Caenorhabditis elegans: one gene and its partners. The protein of the gene in region 2 purifies or fractionates together with the protein of the main gene of each other region. This does not show direct contact. Each region holds a gene or a part of one and is shown on either strand. Other genes may lie near its edges.

Region 1 (10,320 bases), on a different chromosome or scaffold from region 2:
GTGGCTTACTACTTTAAATACAACTTTTTTTAAATGCGTTTATAAATGTTTTAATCTTGTTCAACTTTCCATCTGAGTTCTTATTCATTAGTATATGCCCCATTAGAACAAAACGGAAATTTGCGGCAAATTTTTTGTGTTAATCGCCGATTTCACCGATTGTCAAAAATTGAAAACCGGTGAACGCAGGATCCGCCGATCGGATGTTTCGGCGCATAAGTGCGGTTTGTGATTCTGTGATCGCCATGGAAAACTCCTGCTTTCTCACATGGAGACAACACCTTGAAGAGTAGAAAGATTTAACTGAAATTTTTAATAAATATTGTTTCATTATTTTCATGTTGGATATAAAAATTATTAACTCTTATATCCACGTGATAACCGTTTCAAATTTATTTTCTATACTTGGAAACTTCAAAAAAAATGTATTGTGTATTTTGAATTGATTCATTGTAAACGGTCACAATGACTTCTCGAAAAGCTAAAGAGGTAATTTTTGTGCTTTCAATTAAATGTCAACTTTTAAACTTTCAGAGTGCTCACATGTCTGCAAGTGACATAATATCGACATTCAACGATTTTTTCACGAATTTCCCGGCCAACAAGAGCTTCGACATGACTTACAAAGGTTTGCAATGGCGGAAAATAATTGGAGACCCATTTTAATTTTTCAGTATATCTTAAAGACTTGGCTGATGCAGATGAAGAATTGACTTCCTCGAGACGCAATTCCGAGTTAAATCTGACTGAAAACAAGCCAATCACAATCGCCTCGTGTGGATTTGTTCCTCAAATGATGTCTAGTTCGACTGTGGTAAATCATATTTTTTGCTGGAAAGTTTAATATTCTGAACTTTTAGAAAAACCTATCGCTTTCATCATCGGCAACTAATTTTAACTCGGAAAAGTCTGAGATCGGATCGAAAATCACGATGAACCCTGCAAAACAGGTTCTCAAGGGTAGAAATACTCGCAAGAAGAGGTCAATGGTCGACTTGTCGCAGATTAACAAGATCTTCGGAAGAGACTATAACCCGCCAGCTCCATCTTCAAAATCGCCACCGACTATTTATGTGAACTTGGGAGTTATATATTCTTCGTCCTCTTCTCACGCTTCTGATGCTTCATCCATCAGTTCCCATACGTCCGTTTCGTCTACTTTTACCGAAAAGCAGCACGAATTTGGAAAACTCGTTCCATCTGGGACTGACGGCAGCCTTGAGTTGTTCGTTAAAGTGGCCGATTGTTTTGATTAAAGAAGGCGAATCTCTTGAACTTGAATAAACTTGCAATCTAGTAAATGTTAATTTTTTTGATTTTTGGGAAGAATACACTAAAACGTCGTTTAAGAATATGTTCACTGAGAACCAATTACATTCTTTTGTGCTGAATATAATAGAAAAATGCCTCTCTGACTAGGTCTTAGGATAAACTTGGAAGTATAACAGAAGTTATACTTTATTTTTTTGTGAAAAGATTAAGTAATCAGCTACCAGAATCAAATAAAATTTTGCCGAAGACCTCTGGAAATCTGTAAATTCCGCTCTGAAAATGTTTCTGAAATTCACGGTGTTCAGTGGAAAACTCACTTTTCACGTGAAGGCTAAGCACACAAAAAATTTACAATGTTGTATCGGAGTTTTGACATGAGTATCAAAGGTTCGACAATTTCAGCTTCTCAAATCTCGATCTTATTTTCAGTATACCTTCAAGATTTTGCAGATTAGGAAGGTCTTTTCGCCAAAGTAGTACAACTACTTGTATCACGCCTACCACGATAGCGTGGTTTGGTACGGTTTCACTGCCAGCCCTTTACTCTACCCAACTATCCAAGAAAAACGAGTGAGAATTTCACTGCCAACATATTTGACGAACTAAATATCTCATAGCGAAAACTACGAAACTTTTTTAAATGACTACTGTAGCGCTGGTGTCGATTTACGGTCCCGATTTTCGAAACGAATTACCGTTCGAAAACACTTGTGGCAGAGATTTTATTTTTTTGTTTTATTCGTACTGTTTTGTCATTTTTCTGTTTTCCATTTATATTTTATCGATTAAAAATTATTTCCGTAAATCGACACCAGTACAGTAGTTACTTATGAAAAGAGTTACTGTAGTTTTCGTTACGAGATATTTTGTTTATTTCGCGTCAAATATATATTTTTATAAATATGTTGCGCAATATGCATTCTTAGAATATCGTGTTCCTGTAATAACATACACTTGCGTCGACGACCTGCCAGCCCAATTTTAATTAGTATGTAAAATGCAATCTTCTCCCAAATGAAATCCCTATCCGGATTATAAAATATTAGTTAATTTGTTTTCTAAAATATTTGTAATTGATGTCAAGTCAAAGGTGTTCCATCCTCAATAACCTTCGTATTTATTTATATGCATTTTCAACATTAATTGAGTTTTCCGTATTCCAGTTGTGCGGGTACTAATTTCTCGTGCGAGAGACCATGTTAAAAGGAGAGAGTGCGATACTGTGGCCGAGAAATCTCAGCGCGGCCGAGGGACGAGATCGTGTTGTGAAATAGTTTTTTTTACAAAAATAATTATTTAAGTTTAACATTAATTTTTGTGATTAAAATAACATTAAACTGCTACTTTTTCAAATTTTCGAATTAAAAATTTAACATTTAGGAGCGGTTGCGGTTCTCAATATGAGCGAGTTGCTGCAGTACAGTCGAATCAAATACGAGTGCACCTGTGGAAAATTTCGAACCCTTCCGGACCTTGTTTTCTGCCGATATTGCTTCAAAATTAAGTAAGTTTTTTTAATGGGTAATTGTCTAAAAATAATTGAAAAAAAAAATTAACCAACTTTTCCAGGTGTGATGACTGTAGCTTGGGAGAAGTTGACAATATTTTCTGTCCTCGATGCCTTGAACCATCAAGCGTCCCTGAAGCAAGACTTAAAAAGCATAAATGCGCAAGTTGCAATGATTGTCCTAAGTGTGGTATGATTTATCCACTATTTTGTAAATATATTTGAATATTTTCAGCTAACGTTCTGAGTGCTCGTACAGAAAATGATAATGTATATTTGGTTTGTCAGTACTGTCGTTGGTCTTCAAGAGAAGCGAATCAAGAAGATCAAGAGAATACTAAATCCTGGCCAACGTATGACTAACTGTAAATATGATCTTATGACATTTTATTTATACAGAAAAGAAAATCCATTGGTTAATCAACTTGGTGAGGTGACGGCATACATGAAGAGACTTGAATTGATTGAAAATGCTCCAAAAGATTTGAAAAAGGGAAAATCGGGCAAAGCCTGGACTGCTTTTCACTTGAAAGACAAGTTTGGATTTCAACAAATGGTAGATAAGCGGAAAAAAGCACTGGCTCCTGAAATGAATCCAGTTGATGCACATGCTCCAACAGAAGCGCCGACTCTTGAAGATGAGATTAAAGAAAGAACGGATGATCTGAGAACTCTCGATCAAATCATAATGCAACCATTGATCAATATCTCTGAGCCACTCCTTCCTGTACAAGTTCCTCTGGCTGGAAGAGTTCAAGTTCGATGTGATGAGTGCGAAAGAACTCTTATCAAACGAGACTTCGGAGTTACTACCTTTAAATTTAAAATTTCGGTGAGTAGCTCATTCAACAATAATGTAAAAAGTTTAAATTTCAGTCATTTGCCCGTCAATTTGTTCCTGACATCAGAATGTCTCGACCGGTTGATGATCTTAAAGTTGGGGAGACATCACACGTATTTCTCTCTATTACCAACTTATCATCATCTGCAATGGATTTGACTATCGCACCTCAATCTGGAAATGGTTTCATTCAATGTTCCAGTGATCCAATCCAGCTTCTTCTTCCATCATCGCGAGCATCGGATACTGCTGCTCCTGGAGTTCATGCTGACCAAAGGTTAGTTTTTTCTTGTTTTTAATTGACTAAAAATGGTATTCCAGTGACGTCATCGTGTTCCGACAGCACAACCGAGTTGGCCTTCGACTGGATGTTATTCCCACCGAGATGGATCTCTCTTCTCCATGTCTCAATCTTTTGATTACATATTGTCAGGATGGATCGTTCCGTCTCTCCTCCGCTAGTGACAAAATATTGAAACCAGAAGAAACGTGTCCTGATCCAATTCTCTCTGCTAATTTAAAAGTAGATCTCAGATAATCATTTCATGTATATTTGTTTCTATCCTTTCTCTACCACAGCGTGTCTTTTCTTAAACATAATTTATAAGCTTTGTTAAATATTTAGAAGACGTTTTTATGCTTTAAATTAAATACTTTAAAATTCAACATTCAAACATCCCAACAACAAATAAACATGATCGAGAAAATCAAAAATCAATATTCTGGCAAGATGGAGTATTTTGATGACCTGGAGCTGGCTCATCAAATGCAGGTGGAAGATGCATCACTCGAATTTGGAAACCTTTTCTGGAACTTGCTTCAAAAATAAGATCGAGAATCGGTGGAGTGTGTGTTCCAACGGACATCAATCGGGGCAAACTCTTCAAATGGAAGTATCCATGAGCAGTGCCAAGATGTTTGAACATTTTCTTCTCATTTTCATCAAACGGCATCAGTTGAATATGTGTATCAGCTGCGGATTCCAGTATACGCCAAGTTGGTTTCGGAACTCTGAAGGAGTTAGCCGTGATGTATACAATCATGTAACTCGAACGAGCTAAAGATCGGAGACAGCACAGGAATCGGCCAAGGAACTTGTAATCTTCACAAATTTCCATATCGATATTCTTCAGAACCACTCGAAGAAGATTCTTTTTCGGTCCACCTGAAGTAAAATTCATTAGTTTATGTATAATAATTCAATAAAAATCTCACCTCTTCCGCCGGATTTTGTGTGAGCTTCATTTTCTTTTACAATTTGGCAGAGCGTCTCGTAAATCCCTTTTAGCGTAAAAACTTTCTCCGCATACACGTCAACATTCGGATTCTCTACATGCTTCGTAAAGTCATACTGATTTTCGTTGCTTAATGGTCCAAGGGAAGAGGAAACTTGTTTTACATTTCCATACCGCCACGCAATTTTCATCGAGTTTTCATTTTCTGCCGGCAGAGAATTTGGAATTTCTTGATTTTGCATATCCGTGGATGTTCTTCTAGATGGTATGAGATTGATCTCTTTGGGATCTTCCGTGGGATCCGCAATGAAGCATCGATGACCATGATGAAGTCCTTCTGCGAGGAATGAACGAATGAGATAAGATCCATAGCAACGAGAACGATACTCGTCTGAAAATGAATGTGATTTTAATTTTAGGTTAGCGGGTATTTAATGAACAGGTAGCAACTAAATTAATAAATTACCTATGAGAACAATACTTGAATTAACTAAAGCTCCTCCAATGAGTGTGTCAAATGAATCGCAACCACTTGAAGTTTCCAGTAAGCGTTTCTTTGTTGAACATCCGGCAATTTGAACACTATCACCAACGTTCAACATTCTGAAATTACTTTAAAAATATGAAATATTGATGTTGACCAGGAAATTACGATAAAAATATTTGCAAGGTTATTACCAAACCATAATGTAATTTGAGAAACAGAAAAGAAAAATGAGATTTAAACAAACTAATTATTATTTCTAAAAACAAAAATAGGGTTCTAACTAAAAAATATATAAAGAAACCCGCAATAAAACAATATGAATTATTATCAGACTACTCCAATCTTTTTTCGATCGTCTCCACTCAATTGCAGCTCCTTTCTGAGAGCTTCGCGAGCATCCATTTCCTGGCGTCGACCCATTACCACCTGAGATTTCACTGTTACAAACGCACCGAATCCGACAAGAATAATGATTAGGTAAGCCATCCATGTATTACGATGATTTTTATCGAGGTCATGTCGGCCGACAAGCTGGAAATCAATTTAAATCAGTTTTTAGAATATTCTTCAGTATATATAATTTACCTCTGATCGATAAGCCCATTTCACTTTCTGTCCTTGTATTGTCATTTCGCGATTTTTTTCTGCGCTTTTAATACGAATTTGTTCTTCAAGTAAGTCCATGTTTCTGAAAATTGTTGATTAAAAACTTGAAGGTTTAAAAAAGCATAATCTTACGTAATATCTCTCTGATCTTTAGTTCTGTGAAGCTTTGGATTTTTCACAGGAAGAGTACAGAGATATCGTTCAGTAGGAATACGTTGGATAATGCGAAGCATCTTAAAAAGGAAATTCAAAATAATTTTATAAAATTAATTTCCTCAAAAAAGAGGCCCCACGAAAAGGGGAGCAGAACGAAAAGGGGATCTGCAAAAAGGGGATCTGCGAAAAGGGGAGATACGAAAAGGGGAGATACGAAAAGGGGAGCAACGAAAAGGGGAGCTGGCACTGTGCCAAACGCACAAAACGCAATTTTTCTCACGCAACGCACGTTGATTTTTGAAATTTTCTTCTAGAAGATACGCTTAACAACACGCGACGCGTAACATCGGAGCATCGTTGTATCGTTTTCTTCGAGAAAAATAGCGTTTGGCACAGTGTCAGATCCCCTTTTCGTTGCTCCCCTTTTCGTATCTCCCCTTTTCGTATCTCCCCTTTTCGCAGATCCCCTTTTTTCAGATCCCCTTTTCGTTCTGCTCCCCTTTTCGTGGGGCCTCAAAAAAAAAGATTGTTGAAACTACGAGACTCCGAAATGACGGGCGCGCATGTTGTTTATCGTAAATAATCTAGCTTTTCGCCGCTAATTTTAACATTGTTTTTTTTTCTCATTTTAATTATTTTTTAGTAACTTTTTATCGTATGTTTCATTCTTTTTATATATTAAAATTTGTACATAAATAGGAATCTTAAGTTATTATAAATTAGATTCGTTTTCTATCGTCCTTTTTAGTAGAATATCCATAAAATGTTGCTGCAAGTGCCTGTGCAGGAAGTACATGGGCATATTCTTCAAGCCATTCTGTAAAGTTGAAATCATCCATTGCAATTCTAGCCAAATCTTTCTGTGTCCACGTGTCATTCTGCTCATAGAGCGCAAGAATCATGGTGTGCATTCCTTAAATTTTGTGTTTAAGATTACGAAAAAATATATTCGAGCTTACCAACTGGTCTATCAGTAGAATCTGGGGGTTGATAAGACACAGCAGACTTTGTTCTTCTATGAATCTCAAGCTGTCCATCAAATGCCGCAATATTTGCAACCAGCCAAGTGACAGCCTTTGAGGTAGCATCTGTCAATAACAATGCTTATTATACCTGTAATTAACTGTAGCAAAAAAACCTGCAAGTATAATTGTATAGAGCTTCTCGTCTTGAAGTTCAACTCCTGCTGACATGACTGGAGGATCTGCAAGTTTGTCCAGTATATCAGCGTCGAAAAGTTGACCCATCGATATTTGTTCGTCGCTAAAGGTTGCCTACAATCAAGTTGTTTAGTATTATATTCATCATTTAACATACAATTAGTTCATATGCCGGAGCAACTGGCAACAGACGAGGGACAATTCGATTCTCTCGGAATGCTGTAATAATATTATGTCCTTATTCTTTTATCTCAGCCACCTACTGTGTTCTGGTTCTCTGTATTCTAATGTTCTGTTAGGTTTGCAGCAAAGTTTAACCGAATCATCTCCGAGACTTCCCAGACATCGGTATCCACGTGGGCATTGCGAATCAACTGAATTCCCACATGGCAAGAGAAGAGTCTCATAGAACTTTGGACATGCTGAAAGAAGAATATTAGATCGTACCGGAAGTATGAGAGATACGTGCGGTCTCTTTGACACGTGGCGGGAGGAAGACGGCAATGTGTCAAAGAGATCGTCGCGTCAACTCACTCGGGATGTCGGCATCTTTCTTGTCCTCACAGCAGACATATTTCTGACTTCTTAATGAGTATTGGCATACCGCATTTCTTCCTGTTGGACAATCCTGTAATTGGTTCTGATTATTGAACTCTTCATAAAATAGACCTACGTGTTCTTCTGGATGGCATTCGATAGCTCTCGATGGTATTCTTAATGTTGGTTTACTCATTAACGGTTGTTGCCAAGGGCGAACACAATCCGAATTGGACCATCCTTTGACGAGGTGTGAATCTAGAATTTTCACTGTAAACACAGCCTAACTTTGAATTTCAATCTTACTGTATCTAGCACATAATCCTGCTGCGGGGAGAAGTAGCATAATAAAAACCGTGTTGAGCATGTTATCGATAGCTGGCAAAAAACAAATAAGGAAGACGGCTATGAAATGTAGCATTTCTCGGTGATTTATATACCGCGGAGCCCATGGTCGCACCTCGAGCAGGAAGCGTTTGTTTATATTTACGTGCCAATCCAAATCCGCTCGCAAACATGATGCCCAACACATTCTTGTTGACCAAACTTGGAATATGAAATCGATTTCCAAAAAAAAACTCGGCGTTATCTGACGGTTCTCATGGGTACTAGGATAGACAAAGAAAGGGTGTGAACGCAGGGAAATATCTTTTTAATCTGCCGATAATTACTGACCATTCTGTAGTTTCTCTTGTGTGCTCAATCTTTAGATCTTTGGAAAAAGTGAAGAGTGTATGAAGGCGAAGTGGGTGTGTAATACCAAGTAACCTGTATCTAACAGTAAATAGTTTTTTAATCGATTCTGTAATTGTTTGAAAGTCAACAGTATCTCCAATGTACCGTACCATGATGTTTCACAGGTGTCTTTACAAGTTGAAAATGTAGGTCAAAGAAGGTGATTCGTGAGTGAAGGTGGAGATTGGTGCACCTGCAATTAAACCGGAAGGCGACAATAAACAATATTACGGTAGCAAGTTGAAGTATTCTGTCTGAGTGTGATTGTAAGTGTGGAAGTGAGATTGTCTGGCAGCTAGATAGTTACTAACGAAATTATTAATATGCTCTTCCATATCAACAAGATGAGGGTCTGTTACACGTAGAACTGAAAACACATTGAAACATCATTGTGACCCAATTTTACACCTGGACTGATCTTTTGCTCCTAAATCAACTCTGCTCTTCGCGTTCCATTCCAGATGTTCCATCATATCCACACTTGCCAATTTAACGCTATTGTGTTGTGATCACCCACAGAGCAATGTACACCTGTATCATCTCAATTTTTATATTATGGATTGATATTTAGAATGCCAAATCTATGTTTTGGTCATTTATTCGAAGGTTAGCCTATTTATGAGAGTTTCCAATTGAAGTTTAGATTTTTACTAAATCTTCATGAACATAAATATCCCCTTTCAATTTCAAAATTGCAATTTCTCTCATCTTTTTCTCCCAAATTTGGTTTTTAAATTTAATTTTTTACATTATTAAACTTACAGATTTCTATCTCGACTAGTTTTTTACCAAAAAAAAAAACCTTTTTCAGAATCTAAAAAATCGTTCACAAAATTGTCAAAACTAATCTTTGATCTTTTGATCCCTACAGTGGGAAAATGTTTCCAGCTGTCTGCTGCAGTTGTTTCGATGGCTCGTAGATAGTGAGGGTGGAGCTAGACTGGGTGGACGGGGGGAGAATGTTGAGGATGTGCTTGGGCTCACTGTGTTTATTATATATTCTTAGTATGCGTTCAATTTTTGTAATTAATTTTCTTGGTAGTTCTCCTTATTTACATAGATTTTGTTGTTTTTGTTTCGAACCATTCCAGTGATTTCAATAGCTTGTGATTTTAGTTGGATTTTTTGAGTTGGATTTTTTTTTGTTAACTTATTTTAGAAAATATTTTTCAAATAGTCTCGTTACATTCTTGCTATGCTCTTCCAACTAAAACGTTTTCATAATTTTTGAGTTGTTGCCTAGCCAATAATTTCACCAAATTATATTCCAAATATCACACAGCTGTTGTTGATGATACTATTACCTTATTGTTTCCCCTCATATCCTTTTCCAGATGATCGTTGATAATATTAATACATATAAACCATCATAATCCATCTCATATTTCTCTTTTCCCTATTGTGGTACTAATAATTACAGCTGCTCAATGACCTATCACCTAATTATCTTGCACTCTCACCTCTCTTCTCCCACTTCATCAATTACAATTTCAGCAAATGGACCAGACATATGCTGAAATTGAGAACATATACACTCTGTCACCGATCATAGCAACAACACCAAAAAGATATGATGTTCAATACATTCAACAGAAGTCACGAAAAAATCGCAATTTGATAGATCACTTTGACAGCAGACTTCCTATCGAATATCGGTAAGTTTATGACCTGAGACACCCCTTGCTCAATAGCGGCATCAAATTTCAGATATCCAAAGAAAAATAGCAGTGCGACGTCATCACTATCTTCTGCAGCGTCACGAAGTCTGGCGAGCAAAAGTTTAG
Region 2 (11,648 bases):
TGGCAGAAAGACTACAAACTACAAAAATCTTAGAGAAAATGCTCAAAAATGGTCTGAAAATCGGCAATTTCCAACTTTTAGGCCATTTTCGAGTGTTTCAGCTGAAATTAGTGTTTCTTTTTAAAGGAAAGTCGAGAGATTTTCTGAAGTTTTACACAAATTTTTAATGAAAAATGTTGGAGGAACCAGGGGTGGGCGGCTGTTTCCGGCAAATCGACAAACCGGCAATTTGCAGATTTGCCGAACTTGTCGACCAAAAAATTGCCGAATGGCAACCGTTGCCCACGTCTGGGAAGAGCATGATGAAATAGGTAGCTCCGTAACACGCCCCCAGAGACTTCGAACCCCGCCCACTTTATCTGATTGGTTGAAAAGTGGGCAGAGCAAATCGCTGATTGGTTTTGCAGTTCACAATATGGAGGGAATTCAAACTGGGAATTTATTGAGGTTAGTGAGGGAGGAGATAGGAAATTCTGGTTTTTTCGGATTTTTTTTTCGTTTTTTCTGTAAAATTTCTAAACTTCATACTTTTCAAGCCATGCGCCTTTAAAATCGCAATATGAAACAATTCGAAAAGTGAACAATGGAATGAATATCGGTGTAGGAAAACCCTATACTATCTATAAAATTAATCTACGTATGTGTTATGGGCTGCTACTACCACTACGTCAGTCGAAGAACATTCTTCCGAGTGAGGGAGGAATGGGAGAAAATCGAAAAATTTTGGAGGCAAGAGGGATGTTGTAAAAAAAACTAGAACATTTTTAATGAGGAATATATATTTTGAAAAAAAAATATCAAAATTCGGAAACGTGGAATATCGAAATGAGGACTAATTAGAATTTTAAAATATATAAAAATTTGCCTGAAAGTTGCCAATTTTTTTAATAAAAATTGGCAACTTTCAGGCCAATTTTGAGCCCTTTCTCTAATTTTTCAGCTGAAATTAATGTTGGTTTCAGATAAATCAAGTGATTTTCTATAGATTTTCTATAGCCGTCCATTATTGAACCAATCAGAATGAGTGGGCGGAGTGTTCGAAGACGCTGATTGGACGGGGAGTTTTCATTTTGGAAGGAATTCAAATAGGGAATCTAACGAGAGTTGGGGAAATTCGCAATTCGATTTATTTCGTTTTTTTGTGATATTTTGTTTTTTTTTTTTAGTTTTTTGGTACTGAAATATTCTGCGTATTTTTAACATTTTGAAGAATAAATTTCAGAATTTTTTCAGAAATAACGGTTTTTTGCGAAAAAAATAATTTTTCGGTACTTTTTCAGTAGCAATACCCCCAAAATTTGTAGACATTGAAATAAAAATTACCCTGAATTTTTTTTTACAAAATTGAGCGTAGAAATAGAGGTTTTTGGAGTCAAAAAATTCAACTTTACCTCATTTTTCGATTAAATTTTATTTTACAAAATTAGTCCGACACATTTTTGATGTTTTTATTTTAAGAAAATCTGTGTATGATTAAAAAAAAACGATTTTTTCTAGTCATCAACCACACCCTCACCATACTATTCTTATCAATTCATGCACTTGATTTCTCATTTTCCTTGTACTTTTTCTCGCTTTTTAAACTAAAATTTGAGTTCAAAAAGAGGCTAAACTTACGGGAAGAGTAGTTTCCAGGGTACCCGATAATACCATAAAACAGTACATGACACCGTCCTCTGCAATTGCGTATGCCCATTCTCCTGTAAGAAACTGAATTGCAAGTTTTGAAGGGGAAAACGGGGGAAATTTGAACAAAAATCCGTTTCTAATTTAATTCTTTTTCTGCTCTACGAGCCTTTCCAGAGGAGAAATTATTTTAAAGAAAAAAATGGGAAAATTAGAATTTTGAAATCGGTTTTTTTTTTCAATTTTCGGGTCAAAATTAACCTTTCGGCGATAAAATGCAGTTGATGAAGTCTCCTTTCTCACGCTTTCCTGACGTCATCGTACGAACCACCTGAAATTTTTTTTATTGATTTTTAGCATTGAAAACATGAATTTCAGTTAAAAATCTTTTTGAAAAATGGAAATATACTGGAAAACGGTCCCGAAAATTGGGGAAAGATTTTTAGAACACATAATGTGAATAAAAAGCTGGAATTTTAAATTTTTCAACCAAAATTTAGAAAAAGTATGAAACAATACTTTTTCATAATTTTATTTTTTAATTTACACTTTACACAATTTAAACATATTTTTTTAATTTTTAGAAACATTTTTTGCATTGAAAAATGTACCTTTTCAAACAAATATACATTTTTCAATATTTTAATTTTTTTTACTTTCATTTTTTGTGTAATTAAAAGCATCTTAAATTTTTTTTTGCATTTTTTTAAACCTTTTTTTTACTGTTTTGGAAACATTCTTAGGCGCTTTTTTTGTTAATTTTACATTTAAAAATGCTCTTAAATATTTTTATTCCATTTTTCAGTTCTTAAACTTTTTTTCAAAATCATGTTACCTGTCCAGAAATATTAACAACGTAGAGGGTATTGGATCGATTGCATACAATCATTTGTGGTGGATCACTTTTCGGAATTGGAATCACATTTAATATTGGATAATCTTCACTTCCAACACGGAATGTTGAAAGGCATTCACCCGATTTTCCATGCCAAACACGAATTGAACCATCTGTTGAACATGAGATCTGGAAATTATTTGGGATTTTTAATTTTTTTAAGTCTAAATTTTTTTTCTGAAATTTAAATTTGAAACTTGGAAAAAAATATATATATATAGAAAAAAAATCAATTTTTCCGGATTTCTGCAACGTTTCTAAACAGTAAAAAGCAAAATCAATATGGAGGGGAAACGTCAGAAAAAGTGCACAAAATGACGTGTGTAAACATAGAAATATGTGGGATTTGTGTGAGAAAAGAAATACAGAGATAACATGCATTTGATTGCGGCTAACATACTACAAACTACAATTTTTTCCCGATTTTCTCGCGATTTCTTATATGTTTTTAGCTGTTTAATTGTAGTTATTTAATGAAAATTGTTATTTTTATTGTAAAACTTCAAAAAATAGATATAAATTTTGCAGCAATGAAAGTTTAGAACTACAGTACTCCTTAAAGGTGCACACCCATTTTCAGGAACCGTATTTTTTACGCAAAAAACCGCAAATTTTCGAATTTTAGTATCGTTTTTCGTAATATACAATTTGATTTGTTTCTCTTTATAAATAAAATTACAAAGAATTGCAGGTTTGAAAAAAACACGACTTTTTTAATTAAAATTTTCTGTTACATTTTTCAAATTTTTTTTTGCTTTTTTTTTTTTGCAATTTAACATTTAAAAACTGTCTCTAAACATATTCTTACAACATTTTTTAAATTTGTTTAAACATTAAATATTTTTTGCATTAAAAAACTTTGCATTTTTTCAAACTTTTTGAATTTTTAAATGTTTATTTTGTTCAATTTTTTAGAAATTTTATTTTTATTCTAAGCATTTTTGAAAACATTTTTTTGCGTTTTTTTTTTAATTTTACAAACTACAAATTAGTACAGTTTTCGGATTTTGTCCCAAAATATTTAAAAATTGATGCGTTTTTTAAAAAGAAAATAAATGAAAATTAGACTACAAACTGCACTTTTCAAAAACTCACAATATGATTTCCCTCATCGGAATATCTGACATCTGTAATATAACTCGAGTGCCCACGCATTTCCTTCAAACATTTTCCGCTCTTCATTCCATGAACTCTGAACAAAATTTGTAGTTATTGTAGTTATTAGATTCAAAAAAAGTAATTGTATAAATGTTTTGGTCCAAAATTTACAAGTTTTGTGAATTTTCTAGTTGAAAATTGAAAATTTGAAAATTACATTTAAAAAATTGTGTATTTCTCAAAACTTTTTTGTATGAAATTTTTTCTCAAATAATGACTTTTGGGGCTAAAAAGCATGAAAATTCACAATTTTAAGGGAAAAAATCGTATGAAAATTGTTTTTTTTTCTGGATTTTTTGAAGAAACTTCACAAAAAATTTAGGCGGTAGGCAGGCAGGTAGTCGTACCTCACAACATGATCATTTCCACCCGACAAAATATGTGAATTATCTTTTGAGAATCGAACAGCACAAACTCCTTTCGTGTGAGCTCTATCAAATCTTCGAAGACAATCACCAGTTTCCACTTTCCAAACTTTAATTTTTCCGTCAATTGAGCCTGTGGCGAGCATTTCAGAATCACGACTAAATGATATACATCTCACTGCTGCATCCATCATCATTAGATTATCTTGGGCCTGAAAATATTGAAAATTGTTGGAAAATGAATGTAGATTTTTTTTTGTGCTTTTTTGGTAGGGTTACTGTAGTTTATGAAAAATTGAGGTGTAAGTTTTTGAGGAGGTATTGGGTTGGGAGCTGGTGGGGGGCAATGTTCAGGTACTGTAGGTATACGGTAAGGTTACTGTAGTTTGGAAAAAGTAGATTTTTTATTAATTTTTAACATGAAAATTGTAATTTTAGAGTAGTTTATATAAATAAATGGTGGCAATTTTAATTTCTCAACATTTTCGATTAGTCACTTTTTTAGGTGGCATTTCCTCAAAATGTTGAATTTTTAAGCTAAAAATTGTAACTTTTCTTTAATTTCTCAACATTTTCGTTTATTTACCATATTTTACGAAAATTTTAATGTAATTTCTCCAGAATTTTGAACTTTTCCAACCAAAAAAAATAGATTTTTGATTTGTTTTAATGCTTTTAAAATGACAAAATATGAATTTCTGAACATTTTAAATTATTCACTCTATTTCAGGTGAAATTTCCGAATTTTGTGGCAATTTTAATGGGATTACACCGAAATTTTGAAGTTTTAGATGAGAAAAACTGATTTTTTTTCTAAATTCAAGAGTGTTTCCATCCAATTTTTTATAAAAAATTTAAGAAATTTGATGTTTGTGGAATTTTTATTGCAATTTTGAAATTTTACGCAAAAATTTCGGTTTTTTTGCGAAAAATGCGCTTCCAAAGTTATTTTTCTTCCATTTTGTGGAATTTTTGCAATTTTTCTTCAAAACAATTCATAAAAACCCTAGATTTTTATGATTTTCTACTTCAAAAACCCAAAAATTCTAAAAAATCTACCTGATATTTCAAATCCTTTCTCAATTTTCCATTCATATAATTCCAAACTTCGATAAATCCGTCTTTTGAGCCAGAAACAAGATAATTAGCGTCCGGTGAGAAAACTGCCGATTCGGGATAACTTTCTGAAAGAATTTAGGGTTTAAAAATGGAAAATTTGATATTTTCGGTAATTTTTGGAATTAAATCATAGTTTTTTAATTAATTTTCTAAGATTTCAGGCGATTTTTCATTCAAACCCCCGTTTTTCTTTTAAAAAACCCATAAATCCCAGTATTTTTCGATTAAAAAATCAATTTTTTGTTTAAAAATCCCTTTATCTAAAATTTTGACAAAAAATCTCTAAAGTTCAGAAATTAATTCAATTTTCAGATTTTCAAGTGGTTTCACTCGAAAAATTAGATTTTTCAATGTAAAAATGCTTGAAAAATTCAAATTTGATATTTTAGAAAGTGGTTGACTGGCTACAAAATACAAGTTTTTGAGTTTTTTCTGAATTTTTGTTGAAAAAATACAGACTTTAGGTCGGATTTTTAGATTTTCGAATTTCAGTGCAAAATTTTGAGTAAAAAAAACTTAATTTTTTAATTTTTAATTTTTAATTTTTTTTTTTTTTTTTTAATTTTTTTTTTTTTTTATAAATTTAATTTCTGAAAATTTTATAAATTTAATTCTGAAAAAAAAATACAATTTTGGTCCAAATAATAGTAAATTCGAAATTTTACTCAAAAAATCGAAAATTTAATTGATAGAGGCCTAGACTACAAACTACGAAATTCAAATTTTCTGGATTTTTTTCAAAAAAAAATATTGTAAAAAAATTAATAATTAAGGTCGGAATTCTAGATTTTTGAGAAACCGCCAATTTTTATATTTATTTTCGAATTTTAGGGCATCATTTTGCAATTTTTGATTCCTAAAAAAATCCTTTTTTATAGGAAAAAATTGAAATTTTACAATATTTTCTAATCATTCACGCTATTCTTTGAACTTTCACAATGAAAAAAATTCCAATTCTCAGAAAATAGGCTCAGAAATCTAATTTTAAGTCGGTCAAAGCTTAAAAAATGCACTTTTTAATCAATTTTTCAAATTTTAAAGCAATTTCAATCCGTACTCGTTGAGAATTTAATGCTTCTAGCCATCATAGTCGGATATCTTTCTTCAATTTGCTCTTTCTGTGCAGCTTTTCCTCTAAATAAATCAATTGCAGTTCCAGGTGGAAGAAGTCCTTGATGAAGTTGCCATTTAAGTGATTGTCCAAGTAAACTCAAAAGTCTTGACGGAGCAACTACATGAACTTCTGATGAAAGAGTTTGTGCAATTACGGAGCGTCGTTTCTCTTTACTAACATCTCCATAAACCTCTTGTCCATCGAAATACGGGCGGTTGATAAGAGATTCCAGGCGGGCGAATCGATCCGGATCAATTTGTTTTAGCAAAATCATTGGATCAGTCTGACGGGCGACGAGACGGGCGGTCGCCAGCTCACGGAGCTCCACAAGCTCGATTATTACCTGAAAATTTGAAAAATTTACGAGGAAATTGTTTTTTGTACTAAATTTTCAGGAAAATCTACAATTTGAGCCGAAAAGGTGAAATTTTATTTAAAAACTGCAAAATTTGGGGTTAAAATCTGGCAATTCTGAAGAAAATTCGCTTAAAAACGCGATTTCAACGTAGTTTTTGATTTTTTTTTTTTTTGTTTTACAGCGTGAAATAATGAATATTCAACAATTTTTGGTGAAAATCCCGCGAAAAATTCAATTTTTCAAGTAAAATCTCGGTTTTTTCCTTCTTTCCCATATCTTACATGTTCATACAGATCGATAAGTTTCTTGGCGGGTAATTTCAACGATTGAACGGTTTTCAACACGTTATCCCAATTTCCAGACGTAATTTCATTACAAAATCCATCAATTGAGTCGACTGTATTGAGCGAAACGTTGGTTTCTTCCTGAAATTATCGATTTTCTTTCATTTTCCCAGTTGAAAAATGCAGGAAAATACCTGCAAAATCGCCAGAGTTCGGTGCAAATTCGATTCTTTGAGGAATTGTTCGATGAGACGGATTACACTGAAAATATCGAGGATTAATGATTTTTGGGTTATTTTAAATGAATTTTTACACATTTTGAATGAAAAACTTTTTAGATAAACTTACTCTGAAGATTCGATCTCAATCGATGACATTTTCAGCGAAAATTCGGTGAAAAACGGCTGAAAATGACGTGTAAAATTCGAATATCCTCGGACACGAGAAGTGCGCCAGCCTTTTTGGAAGCGATCGGCAAATGCGCCAGCACGAGCGCTTGGCGTGTTTTGCGTTTTTGGAGCGAATTTCAAATTGGAGTTTTTTGTGGACTTGCATTTGTGTTTAAACTCTTTTTTTTTCAGAAAATATTTTTGCCTGAGATTTTTTTTCATGCACAGTTACAAAAAACAACAGTTTATCCGTTAAAAATCGATAAAATTCCAGAGATTTTTGCTTGACTACGTTAGTTCTCAAAATCCACAGTTTGCGTACAATGCATTTTATCAGCACGTTTTTCTGTTTTTTACAATTGATTTTTTTCCAGCTCCATTTTCTTCAATAAATATGAAAAAACAGGACGACATTCTTTATTTTTTTAAAATAAATTCTTATTCTCACACACGCACACCGGTACTTGTGTTCGTATGAATAGGTTTTTTGAGATTAAAGTATAAAATTTGAAAAAAAAGTTTGAAAAAAAAGGAATTATAATAAAAAGTGTGTGAGCAGGGGCTGTCGTCAGGAATACTGGGGGACTGGGCTTGTGTGTGTCGTTCGTTGGAGCTACCTGAAAACAAAAAAAAATTATTCCAAAAATTTCACTTTTCATTTGATTAACAACATTAAAATCAGTTGCTTACCTCAAAAATATGTGCTTGAATTGAACCAAATTTTAAATATCAGTGAGCTCTTCACAATTTGAAATCGTCAAAGCCTGACGTGCTCTGAAAATTATTGAAAATTCGAAAAACTGGAATTTCCACCGAAAACCGTACCACTGTATCAAAGGCGCGTTTCTCAAATCCAGTAAAACCTTGTCCAGCCAGTGAATCGAAAGCTCTTTTGTCAAAACCGCTGAAGCCGGATCCGGCTAGCGAGTCAAAAGCGCGTTTGTTGAACGCACCGAAGCCACTTCCCGCCTGAAAAATTTGGAGTTGTTTGGAGAGGAAAGACTACAAACTACAAACTACAAACTACATTTTCACCAAGAGCTTAACCATATGGGCACGTGGTGCCAGGCTGTCCTATTACGGTTTGATCTACAAAAATGCGGAAATTTTTCGCGCAGAAAAATGTGACGTCAGCACATTCTCAACCATGCAAAATCAGTTGAGAACTACGCGTCACTTCTCCCGCATTTTTTGTAGATCTGCGTAGATCAAACCGAAATGAGACACTTTGAAACCAAGTGTAGTTTGTAGCATGAAAAAAATTGTTAAAAATCTGGACTTTGCTCAAAAACCGTTAGAAATATTTTTAAAAATTCGTCAATTGAAAAATGTTTGCTTCAAAATTTTAAACATTTTTAACGAACTTTGGAACAGCTTTTTCTAATCGATCACCGAAAAAAGTTAGGCAGTAGGCAGACACACACGCCTGATGGCTTAAGGCCACCTTCAACTCACCAATGAATCAAATGCTCTTTTATTGAATGCTCCGAAACCTGAACCAGCAAGACTGTCGAATGCTCGTTTGTTGAATCCATTATCAAAACCACTTCCAGCTAACGAATCGAATGCTCTTTTCTCGTGAGGTCGATTCAGGAAGAACAATGAGCCAACTGGACGTAGTCGGACAGCTGCACTTTCCACTGTGGACATCTGGAATTAAAAACTATTTGAACCTTTTTAAATGTTAATAAAATAACTAGTTTTGCCTAAATTATATAATGTAGAAAAAACTAAGTTAGTATACTATTGATGCAGTATTACAGAATTATATGTCTTGAATTCAAATAGTGCTCAGCTAACACAGTTCTGTAGTTTGTAGTGTCTCCCTTTCACCCTCCACCAGGACCCCCCTAGCCATCCCAATATCAACGAGGGGCCCCCCTACACATGTTTATGTCTATGTCATCATGATGCCTGGCGAGTTTGTTGGCACTTTGTAATTGGAAAATTTCGTTTGACGCACTTCTTCGCTTCCCCGTTTTATTTCGCGTCATTGGACACGAGATGTGATACATTTTGTTTTTTTATTTTTTGGGAAGGAGGACTCACAAACTTGGGTCTTGACAAGAAGAGAGGTGGATTAAATAGTATTTACTTCAGTGATTGAAGAGGATTAGATGTTGAGGAAGTTCCGAGAAATGTCAGGATGTTAGGAGGACATAAGACACGGCATAAATTTTATGGTACGAAATATAGGACTGGAAAACAAGTTAGGACTACTAACAAAAAAATGTTTAGGGGTTCGGGGACGGACACTCGAAACTATAAGTTTGATATTTTTGTCTTCAACTGTTAAATGTGAATTCTGTTAATATATAAAAAGTTTCGCTATATATTTTATATATTTATTTATTTCAATACGTTTTTTAATCCCTTTTTTGTTGAATACTAAATTTGTCAAAATAGGTAATCGTGAATGTGGGGAAATTCATAAACGCACAGTGTCCGCCGCTAACTAACAGGGGTTTCACGTTGTTAACTAAACTTTGCCGTCTTTGCCGTTTTTTGGAACCACACGTGGTGCCAGGCTGTCCCATTACGGTTTGATCTACAAAAAATGCGCGAATGTTTTTGCCCAAACAACTGTGACGTATGCACGTCCTTAACCATGCGAAATCAGTGTCTCTTCTCCCGCATTTTTTGTAGATCTACGTAGATCAAACTGAGATGAGACGCTCTGATACCACGTGGCATCATAGAATTTTTGAAAAATACTTACTACGATTCTAAGTAACTTATATACATCCATTCCTCCTCTTCTTAGAAATAAGGGTCCTTGAGTATCACTATAATTTAACTAACATTAGTAATAATACAATCCCTTACCCTCTTTCCCACATAACATATATATTATTGAAGTTTGATCACCACCACCACAGCCCACTCATTTTGCACAAGAAACAAAAAAAAACATATTACTCTCCGTTCCTTTTCATTCATTCCCTCCTTTTGAAATTTTAATCAGTAGAAAAACGAAATGCATTAGTGTTTTTTGGGTTCTGCTGATGTGGCTGTGGCGCATGGAAAACGAACGAGTTGCAATTAATTATTTATGATAATGAGTAGTCGTCAGAAAATGGAAAAAGGTTTTTGGACGAGAATGGAGAAAAACTCGGCCACCGATTTATCGCTGGTTACAGTACTCCAAGGGTGAGATTTGTGTAGTGAGGGTTAATAAGACATGTGGAATTCAAAATTCAAAATTAAAATTTTCCAAAAAATCAGAAGTTCAAAAACTACAAATATGTTCTATCCACAGACCGAAGCCATCAGCATAACAACTATAGTACGTTCAGGCAAAGCAGTTTTACAGTTTGTCGTCGGGAGAAAATTTTGTTTTCTCTGTTCCCCATAAATACAGTAGACATCTCAGATCTTATTTAAATTCAGAGAACGTCTAATATTATTGACTGAAAACAATTAAGGCTAACAAAACTTATAGTTTGTCTCCCTTAGCCTCACCCACTTTGACTAATTAGTGATTAATGAAATCCGACAAATCTCGGTTTATTGGAACATTTATTAAAAAGTTCCCACATAAATTGGAAAATAGTTGATGAACCTTGGAAGAAATTAAATTTTGAAAAAGGCGGAAAAAACATTTAACTTTAACAATATTCGAAAGCGCTTTTCTATAAATTTTCATTGAAAATTAATGGTGAAATTTGGATAACGATTTTCTAAAATATGGTCTTGGAAATAATTAATTTGAAAAAATTCTCAAACTACTTTTCGAAATAAAATTTTATCTTAAAAATTTTTTTTCAAATTTTCAGACTCTAACCCTAAATTAAAATTATTTTTAACATCCGAGCCATCGTTGTGTTTTTTTTTTAATTTAAATGCAAAAAAAATGTAGAAAAAAAAAGTGTTTTTTTCGAAAGTTCTGAATTTGAACATTTTTGTAAACGTTTTTTTTTTAAGGTTGAAAAGGTTAATTTCCAGAGACTGAAAATCCAAAATAACATAAATTTTAACGTTACACAACTAAAAATGTAATTTTAAGAGGAAGTATTCAAAAAAAAAATTCCAAAAAAAATCGTCAAAAAACATTTTTTCGGAAATTTTTTAAAAAAATTATATTTTCCTCGAATAAGTTTTTGTTCAATTTCTGAAACCTAAAATCCTATATTAATGTTATTTCTAACATCTCTCCCTTCCTAATGACCTAAAATCCCTTAAAAAAACCGACACCTCCCCCGTCTTTCAGCTCACCGGCAAGCAGCCTCAAATATCGGAGCGAAATCGGAGAATTTCAGGCTATTTGTCATTGAGCACACATACACACACATATTTCTTTGATCTATATTTGATTATTGTGCTCCGATACGTGTCATTTA
Region 3 (10,593 bases), on a different chromosome or scaffold from region 2:
CTCATAATTTCAGCTTGATTTTTTTTTAAAATTTGTGTCCAATATTAGTGGCAGAAAACTGAAAAAAAACCTTGGATTTGCTTTTTAAAACTTAGTGGCACAAATCACAATAGATCGAACGTCGCTGTGTTTTATCTTGAAAGGTGTATTTCAGATGATGAAAAAGTAATTTTGACATTTTTGAAAGAGCGAATATTCATATTTCAAGTTCGGACGGATTTACTGTATTTAAAAAATACGTCATCAAACTTTCGATTTGCCGAAAAGTTTAGTCAGAGATTTGGTATTATGACTGTTTGAGCATTTGCAATCATGATTTTTTTTTGCCAATTTTAGTATAATTTTAATATTTTCAAACATTATTCCCCTGCCAGGAAACTCTTCCTTTAACGAGTAATTTCATGCTGGGAAACAGGTAAACATATAAATAATGTTCTTTTTGAAGTCTTGCTGCTTATTAGAAAAATATAAAATATTTCTACCTGCAGTCGATTGTAATCTAACAACATCCATAATTGTTTCTTTTGGGAAACCGATTAAGATCCACAGGGTGGCCGATTGTCAGCGGTCTTGTTCTCTTTATGGCAAATGAGTGGTAATTGAAAAAGATTAATAAGAAGAATAATGGGTTTACCAAAAATAATATAAAAATGAAACTCTCAATAACAGTAAACTGAATCATTGGTATCAAAGGGCAGGTCTTATAATCATACATTTTGAAGATTGATTACCATGAGTTCAAGCACTTTACAAAGTTAGTATTGCAATTAGTACTGAAATATATTTGTTTCAAACTCCCAGTATTTTAATAAATGTCTTCAAAAAATTGAATTTTGTTAATAAAAATAGTGATCTCTCGGAAATTAGTTTTGCAGACTTCAGTCATTCTTTTTGTTTGCGCCGAACAGCTAGCCGCCCTTTTGCTCACTCTTAAGGAAGCTCCAATGCTCTTGATAAGTGCATAAGCAAACGCAACATGTCCATCAAAAGCTAGCTTATTGTCAACTCGGAGAAACTTCTTGAAGATCGCTGGGTTCCATGGTGTAGCGGTTAGCACTCAGGACTTTGAATCCTGCGACCCGAGTTCAAATCTCGGTGGAACCTATCTTTTTTGAATATATTTATGGTTTGTTCTGGAGGTTTTTTTAGTTGTACAAACTCTGTTGCAAGTGCTACTGTAGTTATCAATTAATCGGGTAGAAACAATTGTAGCAACAGAATACACTAATTAAGTTTCACACAGAAAAAAGATGTTTACCAAAGATAAAGTTTTTGAAACCCGAAAAAAGGTATATGGAAACTACATTAACACAGAATTGTTATCCATAAAACTTTGCTATCAGAATTGACATTTAGAAATGTTGATCGCTGCGATAGACACTCTTTAGCACATTGTAGCCGCTCATGTGCTCACTGCTAACTGAGCGACTGGGCCTTCCCGATAAGTGCATTAGCAAACTCAGCATGTCTATTAACCGAATGTTCTTTCGGAGCAAGTTCTCGAAGCTCACCGGGTTCCATGGTGTAGCGGTTAGCACTCAGGACTTTGAATCCTGCGACCCGAGTTCAAATCTCGGTGGAACCTATCTTTTTTGGATAAATTTTGATCTTTTCTTGTCCATTGTGTCATTTCTATAGTGAGCGGCACTATGGTTATCAATGAGTTGTAACAAAATCATACATTTTTAGGCTCCATGGAACATTTATATTAACAGTCGGTTTTTAAGTATAGCTCGCAAGATAAAATGTGTAACCCATAATATAATAAAACAGGTTCTTGCTCTGAAAATATTTGACTAATTTAAAAATGTAATACAAAGTAATGGCCGGGTCTCAGTTTTTATACTGTTTAGTTTGAAGTCCATAAAATTGTTTGTGTTGTCAAACTTTTGCCACCCACAGAAATAGCTTCCTTGTTATTTTCTTTGCTGAATTTGATTGTTATAAATCTTCCTTTGCACGTATTATTTCACGTCAACTGTTTCATGGGCCACCAAATCGTATGATTTACAGTCACAAAAAATTTCAAAAAATAATAAATTTATTTACAGACAAGCAAAATTAGGTTAGAAAATCACAAATTATTTACGGTTAACTTTCAAGTTTCCGTAAATCTTATGGCATGCCACGTAGCTTTGTTGGTTTTTGATAATTTGATTGAATGGAAGAGACCAGTAGACTTCAGCCGGAAGTTGAGTGTCCTGTAACATTTTTGAAATACTCTTTTAAAAAGAGAAAAATTCAGCTTGTGATTTACCTTGAAAAAACTGTACTTGGTTCTACGGTATACACCCTCGATTTTGATTTGAGTCGCCATTTGTTTGCTGACGTCAGAGTCAAACACGTAGACTGTAGCAAAGATCCCCATAGCACGAACAGAGTTTCCGTCCTGAAATTTCCAGCCAGTTTTTGCTTTTTTGACCTTTAGACTTACATCACCCTGAATCAGCTGCAAGAATGACTCCTTACTAAGCCCTTGTGAGCTGATGACATCATCAATGTCTGGAAGACAGAAAGCAAGCTTCAAGTTGTCATAGCTGCCTTTTTTCAATCCGTCAGCGCAGCTGATTGGTTGACCATCGAGGAGCAGCTGTGCTCGAACTCCTAATTTGTCACCGAATGTTTCACATGCATTGCAGTACAGGCTGAAAAAAAGATAAATCAATATTGTATGACAACATTAATTAATAGCAACAAACCAAGACCCAAATCCTCCACATCCGTTTTCAGGTTGTCGAACACATTTCTCTGGGACAGTATTTTTTTTGGCAGTGTTCTTCAGCTCAAGATAAATGGAGAAATCTCCGCCAAAGTCCTGAAATAGAGAGTTTCAATTTATTTTTTTATGTAGCTTTATTGTTCATTCAAAGTATATACTTAGAGAGTAATAAGAAGTTGTGATGAATTCTTTATTTCTCAGGGTAAGATAATTTTTAAACTTTTGATACGCTACACAAATACTGAAAAAAAACATTAAGTTTTGAATGATATTGATTTAAAATGTTGTCACGTTGTCACGTTGGCATAAAAAAATTCAATTTGCCCAATAATAATTCAGTAAGGTATAATTTAGTGATTTTTAAATTGTACAGACTACATTTAAAGATACAGATTGTGTTGATGTTCTTAAAAACACGGTCTTAAAGGCGGACTAACGGTTCGGACGATTTTGAACGTATAAATCCGAATTGGGCTGGAATGAATAAATTTTGAAAAAAAATACACTGATTTTCGCTAAAATCTCAATTTTCGGCCACTTTTCCGTGTCGCAGCGGTCCGAAGTTGTCTTTTTTGGAATTATCCTCCTGCATCTTTTGGTAATTTTTTATCATCACATTTCATTGATTTAAACCCGATAGGTAACCAAAAATCATCAAAATTGGTTACCTGTCGGCTTTAAATGTGCCTTAATCAATGAAATTGGATGAGATAAACTACCAAAATATGCAATAAAGGGCGATGATTCCAAAAAAGTCAACTACGTCCCCCGCTGCGACACGGAAAAGTTGCCAAAAATCGAGATTTTAGCTAAAATCAGTGTATTTTTTTTTCAAAATTTTGAACCGCCATAAAAAAATTTTGAAAAATTTATCAGAAGTTTCCTTACGAAACTCGTTTATTTGAGCTCATTTTGGGTTTGAACGTTCAAAATCATCCAAACCGTTAGTCCTCCTTCAAGACACGGAATATTAACAAAACAAAAAGCACAATATTTTACCTCTAGAACTTCTACTTGGCCTCCGATAGTAAAACAGTTTGGCTTATCGGCTTGTGGTTCAAGTTTCGGGCCTCTCCTATCATTTCCAGACTCGAATTCTAACTTCTTTGTCCATTTACCACCTGAAAACCAAATAAGCTTTGGTTTAAAATCTCGTAAACCTACTTTTGCATGGTTGATGTTTGATGAGTTCAAGAGTTACACTCAGATCTTTTCCCAACTCAACGTTTTCCAACGCGTTGGAAATGGAAACGAAAAGACACGATGAAGCTAAGAAAACGACCAACATCTGCGACTGAAACCGATGCGCAAATGAAGGTGTCATGGCTTATGAAGTAAGCGACGAGGACGTGCCCTTCTTTCACACCCCTTTTCAGCTGGATTTTAGAATAGTTTACAGTGACGGTGGGGGTGAAAGGGGAATATAGATATGAATTGTACAAATGTGTAATAAAAGTCTGACAGCCATCAAAACCACTTTTCTCGTTTTTTCTTTCTTTTTCGTGTTACTTTTACCTCAATGTGAAATGATTGTCGGATGGCGTTTCGAGGTCATGAAGGTTATGAGATTCTGAAAAGATGAAGAGATTAAAAGAAAAGGAAAGGGGAAAAAAGTAAAAAAAAAGGAAAATAATGAATCAAAAGCCTTATGTCCTTCAACTAGTAGTGAGAACAAATGCAATAAAGTTTTACAGATGTGTTACATAAATATCACTTTATGATCTCTAACCAACAACATATATAGTTCCAGTTTTCCTTACTATTAGTAACTTTGCAAGATTTTTCTGTAGAATTCGTGTACTGTTGTATACACAAGAATAAAAATTCTAGAAGTAAAGGGTATACAGAATACTTTGAACAAAATCCCAGAAACATTTTGAGGCTAGCAAAATATTGAGGTTGTATTGAATAAAATGCATATTGAAGAAATGTAAAAAAACATACTCAAAAGGATACCAGACAAAACTGTTGTTTTTTACACAACGAGTCTTTGAGCACAGTATCACCATAAAGATTGACTGTTATTTATTAAATGTCAAGATCAATTTGCTTATCTAATTCATAATTTTTATTGTGTTTATTTCATAATTCACAAAAAATGAACCCGCATAAACGAAATGAATAAACATGAAGTTATCATCGTTGTTCATCCAAATATATTTTCTTATTTCTTCTTGGCTTGAATGTCGCTCAAGCTAATGGTTCCGTAAAGTTTGTGACATCCAACGAAAACTGACTGCTTTTTGATAATTTGATTGAATGGCAGATTCCAATAAGTTTGAGAGTCAACTGGCTCATCAGCGCCAAGTTTGCGAAGTTCACGGATGCGAGATTCTAGTTTTCGTTGAGAGCTGAAATTATTTCATTTTTCTATTTGTTTAAAAATTTTCTACTCGTGAAAAATAGTGTTATTTTTCATATAGCTGTAATGTATGTGACATATATGTCTCGAATATAGTGAATGGTTGTTAGATGGTATATGAAACTGTAAATCTGGCTAAAACCTATTTAATTTTCAGAACTTACACTAGAAGAGGTTTAATATCCTTGTCGAACAAATAAACGGTCACAAATAGACTAAGCTTTGGTGGACCATTTCCTTCCTGAAACACACTTTTTCTTTCAATAATTATTTTCATTTTGTCAAACCTGAGTAGTAGCAGCTAAAATGTGATCTAACGCGTCTTCTGAAATTCCCTGCCATTCCAACAATGCAGCTAATTTCGGAAGGCAGAAACGGAGTTCAACATTATCATATTCTCCTTTCTAAAAATAGTGTTATTGACTGCATCGTAAATTTTTTTTAACGATGTTGCTCACTTTTAATGGCTCACATCCTGCTGGTTTGCCGTTCACAACAAGTTGAGCTCCGAGAATTTTCGTGAGAGAGTCCAAAGAATCACATGGCCGGCAGTAGAGACTGAAACAGCAGTGTTTACGTCATTTTTTGGAAACAACAAAACAACAAATTTTCAAGTTCGAAAATTTAAATTTCGTAATCATCGAAATACAACTAAATCTTGTTGTTTGAAGTTATAACATAACGACAAATTATGATAGCGTAGTACGTGGAGAGATGGCCGAGCGGTCTAAGGCGCTGGTTTAAGGCACCAGTCCCTTCGGGGGCGTGGGTTCGAATCCCACTCTCTTCAGTTCTTTTTTTTTAATTTATTTTGCAGGTTAAACACTTATGTATGAAATTGTTATAGTTATACTTTTTGTTTTAAGAGTGACCTCTAACTTAAAACTTTTAGGTACTTCACAGCTGTTCATCTATCATTAACTGCTCAAAAGGCTTTTTTTTCATTTCCTAATGTTTTTTCTAGCTCTAGAATCTTGATGATTTCCCTAATATTTCTGTCAATAACTCATTACCATGATCCAACACCTCCACAACCAGTGTCCGGATTGGCATCCCTGCACACTTCCGGTGGTCTTTGAGTGTCACCAGTGGTCGACACGGACAAGTAGATCAACAACTCGTCGCTCACATCCTCATGAATTTTCACTTTTCCCTAAAGAAAATGAATTATTATTATTATTGTAATAACGTCAATCATCAAGCATTGTTATTGTTTTTCAAAAATCAAAATAAAACACTCTTGGGGGCTAACTCACACTAATTGCATAGCACCCTTTCTGTTCAGTTGACTTGAGTAGCGCTCCACTATCCGAGTGGCCACCCTGGAACTCGATTTTGCGGTTCCAGTGAGAACCTGTAACACGTAAAGTATTAAAAAAGTGACAACGATAGTTTAATAATTACTTTTTCTCCATGCACAACTTTGATGTCTATGAAGGTTTAAGTTCAGATACTGAGTCGATGCAAATCCAAACAAAATTGCCAGTAATATCAGGCAGTTTGTAATCATGACAAATCTGTAAGATACCGTTTATGTAAAAATTTACAGAAAGTTACAAGAACAGTATAGAAAAAGTCACAGAAGTCACTGAATTCAAATAGTTCCATCATCGAAACATCTTCATATCTAATATTTGAATCAATCTTAGTTTAGCATTTAATGCAAATGCGGCAAGAAAGTAGCTGTGAAAAAGAAAAATCGTCAAATGGGGCAAAACGATACGAATGGAAGGAACCTGTTACGTAAGCTTAGAGATCTGTCTAAGCATGAAAAAAGAGAATCGGGTATGATATGCATTGTTGAAGGACCTAGACTTTCAATCAAAACGGGACTATGGCAGAGACCACAAGGAAAAATAAACTGAAATAAGGAAGCGAAATGTTCTACGATGACTGACCAGGAGAACATTGAAGATTCCAATGGTCTTTGATTTAGTGTTCACCTCGTCGTCGTCCGCCCTAATTTTTCAACTTGTCATAAAATTTGATTCCTCTGGAATTTCACAAAAGAAAACTAGTTACGAGAACAAGAACTAATGTGGAACTTTTAATGGTGTGTACTAGGTGTGTTTGAGAAGGGAAATATTTGTGACGCTTTACAAAATCAGTGTTCATGTGACTATCTTTTCAAATCGACTTCAAAATGTTGTTTGTAAGAATGGAGACCTAAATGAATGATGGAGTTTGTGGGCAAAAAATCTCAAAAACTACAGAAACAATGTCAGAAATAACGCAACAGTTATTTGTAATTTTATAATACTTCGGTTCTCAACTATAGAATATTTGGGAAACTTAGTGGAAAAATAATACCGCCGGCATATAGAATAACTCTTAAACTACTTTGGACGAATTAATGTTTTAACAGTGGTCGCAAGAGCATTCGAGCTAATGAAGTTTGGCAAACAAAGATTTTTTTGTGGACTACAAATTATGATAGGCATAATACCATTAAGCCCAATAGTGGCTGGGTGAACCTAGGGGGTGAGGCCGGACTTGAACTTATGACCTCCAGATTTCTAGCGGTCACCACTACCGACTGAGCTATCCGCCCCCCGAAATACAATTTTGTAAAGCAAAATTAAAAAATATATCTTTTCATTTTTTCACGTATCAATCATGTTTGCGCAATTTAAAAAATGAACTTTAATGAAAAAAAATCATAAACTTATATAATCTTGCAAAAACCCCTTGATAAGAAAAATGAGTCATTGAACGATTAAAACATAAATAAAAATTTCCACTAGCTTTAACCAAAAGTCCACACTTTTTCATCTTGCGAATACACAGTTTTCACACCCGTCTTTATAATCATTTTATACACTTTCTGTAATGCTGGCAATTCGCTTGAGTGCACTTGAATAGCAAAGGTTCACGCTTGGACAGAAAAGTGTGACGAAAGATATTGTGGAAGGGCAAATGAATGGTGGGCCGACACGCAGGGCAAAAAACGAATAATACTAAGAAATTGTGGAAGACGATAAAGACTGCGAATTGGTCGGAAACGAGAATTTGCCAAGAATCCCCTCATCTCCTTTCACCAACTAACCGCGGATAATAGATAATAGGTGTGAATCATTATTATTCGATCAGGAAACGATGCGCTATGCAAAGTGTTAGCTGGTCTGCTTGCGTTACATTCAGGTATACAATTTTTGCAGGAAATCACGCACATACACATCTGAATGTCACTTTATGTACAGTGTTTTAGACAAAACCAGTTTTAATACTGCGCTTGTGATAGTTGTACCAAATTCTGAATTTGTGAATGGCCAGGTATACATACTAGAGCTTAAAACTGGACTAAATTTTATTTGATCAAAACTGATTAGCAAAATTTTATTACAAATTAAAAGGTTTATTTCACGGTTCATTTAAAGGCGTAGAAATAAATTTGGGCACACATCAACCTACTGAACATGCATTTTAATCAATGGAATAATTGTGCACTAAAATAGTTTTATGACAAAATAACCTTGACAATATTTTAGAAAACTCCAAGATGTAACAAGTGTTAAGTTTAAGGAAGTCCAATGCAAAACCTTATATAAAGGATTAGGCACGTCTTGCAATTATAAAAAAGTATCCCACTGTTGAGCATCTCTTCTGACATTTCAAAAAAAAATTTAACAAAAAAAGGTGTAACCAGACTTGAATTTCCTTTATTAGTAACTGCTCGATTATAAATTTAAATAATCGGGACGTGGTTGAAACGCTTTAATTTTTTAAGCTATACTCGGTTGACAGAAAATAGACTGTTTGTATGATGGAAACTTTGTATCACAGCTCTAACAAAACAGCTTTATTTCACCAAAAGTACAAGGACTGGAGGAAAGAAAAATTGTATCAACTATCTCATTTCTGCACCTTCAACGCCCCCAAAGCCGGCTGCTGAGTTGAAGTTTTGGCCGGATTCCTGCTTTCGCCACCCGCTCCATTTTCAGATTGTCATCAGAAAACACTTCCTCATTTTCAGTCTCATGTTGATTCAACGACTGTCTTGAAGTCTTGGCCAATATTGTGGTCTGCAATCTGATTCGATGAAATCTTGGAAACAAGAATCATAAGTGAACAGGAAGGAGTGGATTCCAAGTAATTTGTTTACCGTTTCGAATTTATTCTCATCTTTGATCGTTTTCTCGGATGATTCCACCGGCCACATCACCATGAAATCTTCAGGAATCAGAGGGATGTCCTGAATTAAATTAAATTGAAATAAATGAAATGAGTCAGTGGTTTATTGAAAACACACTACATTTGATTGCACCTGCTAACTATAAGTTTTAAAATTATTTAGGGATGACAAATTTCCTCGTGATTCTATCTTTGCCAAAAATTAACAATTCCACCTGCATTAAACTCGTGGCCAAAACTTCAAAACATTAGGATTTCTCAAGTGTATCAATAGAATAGTGTTGTTCCAAAAAAAAAAACGCTTTATGTAAATTCAAAAAAAACACAGAAGTGAAGAAGTAAAATTTCCTTGACTCACCCTTTCAAAATTCCTCAGCCCTGAAGCATGTGCCCGTTTGCCCCAAAGAATACTGGACCTGCGGAGCTCCCCGTTTATAGCTCGTTTGTGCGTGATGAACCTCTGAATTTAGATTTTAAAATAAAAAATCTGACATCCATGAAAGCTTACATCAAAATGCGCCATGTCGTCACCACCCCCAATGCCTCCAAACTTCCTCATTTTCCAATCCTAAACATTTTGCGAATAATTCATAAGTTTGACTATTTTTGGTGTCCCTACCTGATTGGCCATGGTGACCCCAGCGAAGAAGAAAGCAATCAGAATAAAGAAGGTGTACTGCATGTCGTCCTGTGAAGTACAAGTATAATTCTCAGAGATTAATTTTTTTGGGAATGGAATTAAGAAAAAGTGTGAGCCGGGTGATTTTAACTGGCAGTTAATGAAACCGATTTTAGCGCAGGAGCAATTTGATTTTGTCTTCACCTGTTTTGTTAAAACAAGGGGCGGAGCTTTGAATGCAGAAAGAGAGAGAAGGTTAATTCGGAAATGAAGAATCTTGATAGACTACCCGGAATTTTAAAAACATCAGTATAAATTAAAACTGAGTGTGAAAAATAAAGCGAAGGAAAAGGCAAAAGACAAAAAAAAAGCAAAATATAAGTGTGACCACTCATCGAAAATTAGAGGATACCTAGGTTCGGAAAAAAATGACGTGCTCCTCACTGGCTTGCAAATCATACTAATCATGTTTTCCAGGTGAATTATTTATGAGTGGGGAGACAAGACTCTCCCCCCCCCCCCCCCCGCCCAAATGGTTTAGTACTGGTTCCTAATTGCTCCTTGGAAAAACGAAACGACTTTATTATCGTAGTTGGAGCAAGAAGTCTTCAAAGGATCTTTGGAAATTTGATGACAATTGGTAGTATACAGAGGGAAAACAGAACAAGGGACAAAGATAGATAGGGGAGGAGGAATTAGAGAGAGAGAGCAAAAAACTTTTAAACATTTTTAGATAATCAACTTGGTTTGCTGTTTTCATTA

Evidence for each region.
Region 1: the proteins of smu-1 (region 2) and elpc-4 fractionate together in Caenorhabditis elegans (co-fractionation; one large-scale study listed by BioGRID). This does not show direct contact.
Region 3: the proteins of smu-1 (region 2) and gmap-2 fractionate together in Caenorhabditis elegans (co-fractionation; one large-scale study listed by BioGRID). This does not show direct contact.

Annotation. Positions count from the first base shown.
Region 1 is NC_003282.8:8,012,141-8,022,460, reverse strand, and holds elpc-4 (Elongator complex protein 4), read right to left. Parts: upstream 5,468-10,320; 5' UTR 5,458-5,467; coding exon 5,322-5,457; intron 5,247-5,321; coding exon 4,836-5,246; intron 4,786-4,835; coding exon 4,328-4,785; 3' UTR 4,240-4,327; downstream 1-4,239. Other genes in the region: C26B2.2 (Membrane-associated kinase regulator), read left to right, coding at 466-489, 535-628, 675-814, 861-1,256; dnc-4 (Dynactin subunit 4), read left to right, coding at 2,673-2,776, 2,842-2,969, 3,015-3,132, 3,179-3,611, 3,656-3,897, 3,942-4,158; C26B2.7 (Cytochrome c oxidase assembly protein COX20, mitochondrial), read right to left, coding at 5,670-5,873, 5,928-6,030, 6,081-6,181; C26B2.8 (C3H1-type domain-containing protein), read right to left, coding at 6,824-7,017, 7,064-7,192, 7,243-7,378, 7,422-7,483, 7,528-7,686, 7,799-7,892, 7,938-8,059, 8,108-8,168; Y42H9B.3 (uncharacterized protein), read left to right, coding at 10,034-10,191, 10,244-10,320.
Region 2 is NC_003279.8:12,991,537-13,003,184, reverse strand, and holds the start of smu-1 (Smu-1 suppressor of mec-8 and unc-52 protein), read right to left. Parts: upstream 7,383-11,648; 5' UTR 7,297-7,382; coding exon 7,268-7,296; intron 7,181-7,267; coding exon 7,114-7,180; intron 7,061-7,113; coding exon 6,917-7,060; intron 6,621-6,916; coding exon 6,221-6,620; intron 5,229-6,220; coding exon 5,104-5,228; intron 4,257-5,103; coding exon 4,027-4,256; intron 3,714-4,026; coding exon 3,617-3,713; intron 2,651-3,616; coding exon 2,462-2,650; intron 1,958-2,461; coding exon 1,888-1,957; intron 1,701-1,887; coding exon 1,618-1,700; intron 1-1,617. Other genes in the region: nlp-15 (Neuropeptide-Like Protein), read right to left, coding at 8,050-8,082, 8,134-8,277, 8,764-8,958. UniProt on the Caenorhabditis elegans protein: Involved in pre-mRNA splicing as a component of the spliceosome. Selectively regulates alternative splicing of unc-52 exon 17.
Region 3 is NC_003284.9:12,936,669-12,947,261, forward strand, and holds gmap-2 (GM2 Activator Protein family member), read right to left. Parts: upstream 6,599-10,593; 5' UTR 6,592-6,598; coding exon 6,486-6,591; intron 6,436-6,485; coding exon 6,338-6,435; intron 6,235-6,337; coding exon 6,095-6,234; intron 5,872-6,094; exon of another isoform or gene 5,790-5,871; intron 5,640-5,789; coding exon 5,540-5,639; intron 5,486-5,539; coding exon 5,369-5,485; intron 5,323-5,368; coding exon 5,246-5,322; intron 5,071-5,245; coding exon 4,884-5,070; 3' UTR 4,774-4,883; downstream 1-4,773. Other genes in the region: gmap-3 (GM2 Activator Protein family member), read right to left, coding at 2,082-2,201, 2,258-2,389, 2,435-2,645, 2,700-2,815, 3,719-3,840, 3,884-4,043; nssp-88 (Neuropeptide-Like Protein), read right to left, coding at 8,948-9,103, 9,184-9,273, 9,571-9,672, 9,721-9,780, 9,832-9,894.